Rattus norvegicus: one gene and its partner. The protein of the gene in region 1 interacts with the protein of each later gene in a pairwise test. Links are inferred from orthologs where the notes say so. Each region holds a gene or a part of one and is shown on either strand. Other genes may lie near its edges.

What was found. The genes of interacting proteins can lie anywhere in the genome.
Region 2: the proteins of Cep70 (region 1) and Tead4 interact in a two-hybrid assay, tested with the Homo sapiens proteins (2 studies listed by BioGRID). The two-hybrid records come from large-scale screens. The link is inferred for Rattus norvegicus from reciprocal best matches to the Homo sapiens genes CEP70 and TEAD4.

Annotation. Positions count from the first base shown.
Region 1 is NC_086026.1:108,734,707-108,738,206, reverse strand, and holds part of Cep70 (centrosomal protein of 70 kDa), read right to left. Parts: intron 535-3,500; coding exon 388-534; intron 285-387; coding exon 116-284; intron 1-115.
Region 2 is NC_086022.1:163,255,543-163,259,732, forward strand, and holds the start of Tead4 (TEA domain transcription factor 4), read right to left. Parts: upstream 2,801-4,190; 5' UTR 2,292-2,800; intron 1-2,291. UniProt on the Homo sapiens protein: Transcription factor which plays a key role in the Hippo signaling pathway, a pathway involved in organ size control and tumor suppression by restricting proliferation and promoting apoptosis.

The DNA.
Region 1 (3,500 bases):
CGGGGACCGAACCCAGGGCCTTGCGCTTCCTAGGTAAGCGCTCTACCACTGAGCTAAATCCCCAGCCCCAGGAATAATTCTTAAATCAATGCCCCAACTGACAAAGGGTCATCACCTAATCCCAGGAGCTCCTGAAGGTTTCTTACAGCGTTGTTCATTTCTCCAAGCCTGGCGTACACTTCATTCATTCGAGGATAGACTCCATTTAAAGACTGCACATCAAACAGCTTTTGGAAGTGAGAAACAATAGCTTGCAAAGTTTGAGAGTTTGGCATGCTGCTGGTCTATACAAAGAAGGTCAAAAGGGTAGTTTACAAGTTGAAATAATAATAAGTAGTTAATATAAACCTTTAAAATGAGAGCAATTATATAAGTATCAAATGTTACCTCTTTCTGGTTTTCAACTTCTTCCAACATGGTATCTACCATTAACAACAGATCTCCTACTTTGACACCTTCATTTTCATTCGGTTTCTTTAAATTATGCCAAGGTATCAGTTCTGCAGACAGTATTTTTAAGGACTTATACAAATCCTTTACAACAGAAGAAAGCACATGGGATTATTGGTTACAGAATAGTTTGTATAGTAACACTAATAACACAGTAATCATGGGGGCCTAAAAACACATAGCTATATAACCACCATCAGTACTTTTTTAATACCACTGCCAATTTAAAACAAGGCTGTTCTAAGTAATAATGTTATTGTTTTTTTAATTATTTTATCAGTGCTGGAGATAGTCCAGGCCCTTCCTCACATATACAAAGCAAATATTTTACCACTGAGTCATATTTCTAGTCTAGGTTTTAAATATTTTTGCAGCAATTTTGAAATGAGATTTACATACCAAAATATTCACCTTTACTAAGTATACAATTTGATGGTTTTCCTCTTTTCACAGTGGTACAAAACCACTGTGTAAGCTCAGAACTCCTCCCTCTTCTAAGAGCTTCCACACCCAGAGCTGGAGAAACACTTAGCAGTGAGAGCACTTGTTGATCTTACAAGAAGAGCCAGGTTCAGTCCCCAACACTGCATGATGGTTCACAACCATTCAGAACTCTAGTTCCAGAGGATCTAATGCTCTGGGACTACAGTTACTCTGGATAATATAGATAAATATCAACTGAGTATCCATGTGTCACGAAGAGCTTTGAGGTATGTAAGAACAAATACAGCTATTTGTTTCCCAAGGAGGTCACATAGTCTTAACAAGTGTCTCTGGGTACTCGGGGAAAACGCTAACTCTCCATATGAGGCTTCTTCCAACTTCACATACTAACTTGATCCCGAATCTGCACTGTTAGAAGCACTGTTAAAGGCCACGAGCTTCCTGGGTGGCAGAAGTGACTAATTCTAGCCAATTGCCTCATGTCCTTCTAATACTCTAACTGTAAGGCTGACTCCTTGCCTCCTATTGAAAAAACCACACCTTAGGCAGAATGTAGCACCCCTGCCCACGTTGCTTGGGGCTATGATCAGTGATGCCCTTTCAACCAGACTCTGGTGTCCAGGTCACCCACAGCATACACCTGTACTGCACCAGGCTGTCCACCTTTATTGCATTAGTTTTTTCTAATCATATACTGCACAGTTATCTAAAGTCCATGTTTCGTGTGCTTGATCTGTCCAGTTCATCTGAGTCTGTTTTAATGGAGTATGTGTATATTTGGGGACTTTTGTCTGCATCTTTACACTAGAAAACAGATTTACACAGTGGTGAGCAGCCTTGTGGCCGCTGGGAATTGAACTCAAGACCTTCAGAAGAGCGCTGAACCACTGAGCCATTCTTCCAGGACCTAGTCTGAGTTTTATGTTCATAGTTTTGTAATACTTTCCCATCTCCCACATAGAAAAATTAACTGTATCTATAAATTTGGTTCCTCCTTTTGTCTCCTTTCTCATTTGGTTTTTCCCTTCTGATGGAAAGCAAGGGCTGTTTCTATTGTAACTCTTCTGAAAAGGAGGAAGGCAGAGTTAGCACTGTTATCCCTACAGTGGGCTCTTGGCCAAGCATTGAGTGGGACATGCCACAGTGTCCACAAGCCATCTCCACCCCACCCTTTTCTGGGAAACAAACTTGAGAGACTCAGGCTTATAAAACAGTGTATTAATTTACCACAGCCATTTGACCAAAAATGCTTAGATAGTGTAGGGCTCTGTCTAAATCCTAAGGGGGAAAAAGGAAATAAATCTTGGGCTGAGTGCCAAGATTCCTTCATAGGTTCTATACAGACATAATTTTACAAATTAAAAACTCAAGCCAGGTGTGGTGGTGCATGCCTTTAATCCCAACATTCAAGAGGCAGGTGGACCTCTGTGTATGAGGCCAGCTTGGTCTACAAAGCAAATTCTAGGACAGCCAGGCCTATACAGAGAAACCCTGTTTCAAAAAACAAAACCAACCAACCAAACAAACAAACAAAAAAACCAAAGACAAAAAGCAAGCAAGCAAACAAACAATAAAAAAACCCTTTAGTGGTCTGAGACTATAGTTATTCTAGAATAATATGGATTGATTTGTATCATGAAGAACGTTGAGGCATATAAGAACAAATACAACTTTTTGTTCCTAAAGAGGTCACATACTCTTAGCAAGTGTCTTCAGATAACAGGACAAAATGCTGACAAATGTTATCACTGAATCGTATCTTTATTAACCATAGTAGAATTTTGTATAATATAGGTTACTGAAAGAAATCCAACATTTAAAAGGCACAAAGGCAATACTATTAACTTTATAGCAAACCACTTCTCAATAAACTAATAAAAATGTAATAAACTCAAGTTATATAATAAATACACAATGAACTATAAGTCAAATGTAAATATATCTAATTTCCTAGTTGTTAATAATCAACTTCTCCTGAGATTAAATAAACAGCAATAAACTCAGTCCTGAGAAAGAAAAGTAACATGTGAAGACTGTAAAGCTATTCCCCGTTAAGATGAGAGTAAGGGTAAGACGTTGATCTGAGCATGTGCAAAAGCCAGGAAATGGGCAGCATAGATATCCACAGGAAGAGAGCTAAAGATGGAAGGGCTCAGAGGAACAAAGATGGATCCACTACAAATTCTCAATGAGAGAACTTTCTGTGTTAGAGTTTTGGAAGAGGTGAGCTTATCAAAAGAACAATTTACAAGATTAGAAATACGTAAGGTCAAGCATGGTGGATCCTGCCCTCAATTATAGCACTCAGGAGTCAGAAGCAGGAGGTTATCTGTGAGTTCAAGGCCAGACTGGTCTAGGTAAAGAGTTCCAGGCCAGCCAGGACTACAGAGTTACACTCTACAGTCTGTCTCAAAAACAAATTGGAACAAAAGCCAGGACAATACAGTTACACTCTACAGTCTGTCTCAAAAACAAATTGGAACAAAAGCCAGGACTATACAGTTACACTCTACGGTCTGTCTCAAAAACAAATCAGAACAAAATACGAAAGCAGCAATATTTCAATTTTAGAAAAGTGGGGTTGGGGCTGGGGATTTAGCTCAGTG
Region 2 (4,190 bases), on another chromosome or scaffold:
CCCACCCTGGGCCTGGACTTTGACTGAGGATCCTACAGTGCTCAGCAAATGTCCTGAGAGCAGGCAAAAGTAGAAATGAGAATATGGGAGCTAGAGAATTATGTTATCTGGTGGAAGCCTCCCCATGGCACGGGACCCACAGAAAATGCCCAATTCATGTTGGCAAAATAAATATGATACGTGGTGAGGTTGCCCAAAGGGTGCCCAGAGAATAATCACACAAAATCCTCTAGTCTCACATGTTACAAGACTCCAGGTCCAATCCTCAACATGAAAAGGGGAAGAGGGAGGGGGTTGCCAAAGCAAGCTTAGGAAAACATAGGATACACCATTTCCAAGGGCCCTGGAATGAAGGGGAAGGGGGAGGGGGTTGCCAAAGCAAGCTTAGGAAAACATAGGATACACCATTTCCAAGGGCCCTGGGATGTGCTAACAGACGCTTTAGAGACACTGAATTTTCAGAGCAAGCTTTCTGCACTGGCTTTAGTTACTCACCCCTCATTCCCACCCCGCAATGTTACTCATCAGGAAACGGAGCCCAAGAGCCTTAAAGGTAGTGAGTATCAAGATTCATGTCCAGGTCTGTCTGACCCCACACCTGTGTGTTCCCTACCCCATGAGAGCTGCCCTTGTGGACACGGCCTGAGCAGTATGGAATATGAGGTATGTCCCAGCTGACTATCTACATCAGCAGGAGAGAAGGAAAGATAAACACAAGAGCCCCTCCCCCTCACTCCTGACATGGTTCTCTGTTCCTTCCTTCCGAGAAACCACAGCCATCACTTTTGTGTTGTGTTAATGAGGGAGAACCCTGATGCCAAGTCTGTGACTCTCACACCACCGTCCTGTCAAGATCCTGGACTCAGCTACCAAGTCGGAGGCAGCCCTCACCTTCCTGTCACTAAAGCTTTCCTACAGTGAGCTATCAAGTTTCCCCACAGAAACAAGGTCATCTAGCTAACTGTGAAGAATGAGGGGGAAGCTGAGGCAGAGGATATCCAGTTTGAACCCAGCTTGGGTTTCAGAGCAAGACCCTGGCTATTCAGGAATGAGAGATTTTCTTCTCCTCATTGCTTCAAGGTTCCTACAGAGAGAACACTAACACCCCTGTCCTTGAAGGCAACTTTGAAACTCTATCAACCGCCCAACAAACACTATCCAACAACCCATGTGGTCAGCTAAGCCTACGGACTCCAGTCTGTAATTTTTTTTTTTTTTTTTTTTGAGGCAGGAGAATGAAAGCCACCTCCTGCTGGGGTAGTAGGACCAGGCCAGCCTAGACTACAAGAGACTTCTGTCTCAAAAGAAAACAACCTAACAAGCTCCTTTCCTTTTAGAGGGTCCACCCCCATAAACGTTACCAACAACCCATCCTAGCCCCTGGGGGCAAAGATCTCAGCTTTGCTTAGCCTACCAGCAGTTCCCTAAAGGATTCCGCCAGAACAGGATCCACACTCCCTCAGAAAGACAGCTGCCTGGAAGGGGGGCAGGTGTAGGCAGCTTCCTGCCAGCAAAGCTCAACCCAGCAGAGCTGGGGTGAGGAGTGGGGGGCGGGAGGGCCGGGAGGGGACACTTCCAACTACTACTGTCAAATTCTCCCTGAACACAAAGAACTTGGAGACATTGTCCCCTGCTCCGGTTCTGCAAGAAGTCAGAGCCAGAACCAACATCCTCAGAGCGACGAGGGGTGTTGGAGAGGAGGCATCACACACCCACCCGGACACTTAGGGTTTCAGACAGCACCCTCTTCAAGTAGCAATGCACTCACTGTCGCATTGTTTAGCACAAACAAATACACCTCCTGAAAGCAAGGTGAGTCACAGCGCGCAGATATCTCTTCCTCAGGTACACCCAAAACTTAAGGATGCTGGCGCAGGTAAGTAATACCTCGCTTGAACTCACTGAGTGGGATGGATGTGGGTGTGCCTGGAGCCCCCTGACACGTGTGTGCACCGCGGCGCGCCCCTGGGCTGCCTGCTAGAGTAGAGTGCCTTGGAGTTTGGGAGCAATGGTCCATCACTTCTCACCCATAGGGCCCACGGCGTCTCAAACCCTGAGGACCTCTGCAGAAGGTCCAAGCAACACACCTCCCTTCTGTGCTCCCTTCTCCAGGCTGAAAAGTAGAAAAGGGCCTGACTGAGGCTCATCAGTCTCCAACTTCTAAAACTTCTGCCAGGCGACCTTGCTCTGTCCAGTCTCTGGACTCCGCCGCCCCCACGTGCCCCACTGGTCCCCTAGTGCTGCCCGAGACCATGCAGGACGCGGATGTCGCCCGAACTCAGCAGCCTTACCGGTCCCAGGGTTCAGGAGGCGGGGTGGGAGCGCTCGGCCGGCTGCACCAAGTCCACGCGGGGGGCCAAGTCTTCCAGCCGCGGCGACGGCTTCGGGGCCCGAGCGTGTAGCTGAGGCGGTCCCCACCCCCGGGGCCGGAGTTTGCAGAGGAGCCCGGTAGGAATGCGCGGAATGGGCGCTGGAATGAGACGCGCGCGGCTGGGGAGGGAGCGGAGGGAGTGGCGCTGCCACCCGCACCTTAGGGAGGAGACCCGGCCTGAGAGAGGCTGGGCTCCGCGGCTGGGCGGAGCCCGGGGGACCGCGGGCGACCACGGGACGGGGCACGACGGAGACACCCGAGAACCCCGCGGACCCCTCGGCGCCTCTGGCCACTCGTGCCCACACGCCTTGACTGTGATCTACGGATTTCCCGCTCACCTCCAGCTTCCCACATCCCCGAGTGGCATTGAATCCCTCCACCACCTCCTGCTAAAAACCGTCCCCTCCGCCGGGGTGGGGCGCGCCTCGCTGTGCTCCTGGAGTACGCGGACCGGAGCAGGAAGGGCTGTTCCCTTCCCCGAGGCTGCTACGGAGGACACTCGCTCCGGGAGCAGGAAGCAGGAACTCCCGGCTCTGCTCCCAGATCCGCCACCGCTTTCCCTCTCCAGCCCTCTCCAACATCAGCCTTTCAGTTCTTTCCTTGTCCCTTGGGATCTGCAGAACTGTCACTTCTCAGAAAGCAGGGAAGAAAGGGGAGACCCGTCATGGACTCTGTTGTAACTCCATGAATCTTTATCCTGTGAATAGGTCCACCGGATGCTGGGACAATAATAAAGAGTGGGTCCCAGCAGTGGTTCACAGAGAGCTGGAACTTAGCTGCTGATGACCCAGGGTCCGGGACAGCTTGGCCATGAAGTTAGAAGTCTGAGTTTCAAAGAAGTACGTCAGATCAATTTAGAAGAAACACGTGGGCTCGGGCTAGGAGTCTTAGAACCATTTGGCTTAAAGCAATTAGTTACTACCTCGCTCCGGCACTCACCTCTTCACTTTGGGAAACTTAAAATCAAAGAAAAGCCTTTGCTATTCCCCCCAAATCAAACAATCTCTGAAGCACTATCATTAAATTTTTATTGCCGTGGCTCTCCCAGTCTGATCTGGTGAAACAAACTCTGGAAGGCGGCAACTCTCCAGATCTATCTTAGCGTTTACCCAGCACGAACAACTCAAGATGGAGATGGAGGTAATAAATGAGGGAAGGATAGCCTGGGAGACGTTGAAAAGTAAGTGTTATAAATGCCAGGGTTGTACCTAAGAGAGGGGATCTAAAGAGTCTGCGGAAATGCCAGCATCATGGGACTGAGAATCCCGTCTTACAAAGGGAAGACTTTGAAGGATTGCAGCCCTCGTTTGGATGTATAAATTCTGGTATGCTTATTAAATAGTGAGTCATATCAAAGCTTGGGCACATCCCATTCGCATGAAAAGGACATCGCAGGGCAGCGTATCTGTGAGTGTAGAGTACAAACTGTCCCACCACTTAATCCAGCAGCCCTTCCTTGACTCCGCTGCCAAGCTAAGTGCAGAAGCCCCTGCCTTCAAGAAGTTCACGGTTGAAGCAAGACAGTAATTGTTAATGCAAATCCACATTCAAGAACAAAAACCAATGCAATTCAAGGCAAAGGGGCGACTTTAACCAGTTTGATGTCTACTCCCAGCCCTGTGTGTGCTAGGCAATGCTCTACCACCGCGCTGTGGCCCCAGCCTTGATGTGCTTTGGTTTCTGATCAGGTCTATTAGAGTTATTCAGGTTAACCTTGAACTCTGTCAGCTGCTCCTGCCTCAGCCTTGGGATAGATGACTCCATCTACAGTACGGGTCTTTGCTTACCACATCTGTGGGGCGACCTTGACTCAGCTCTT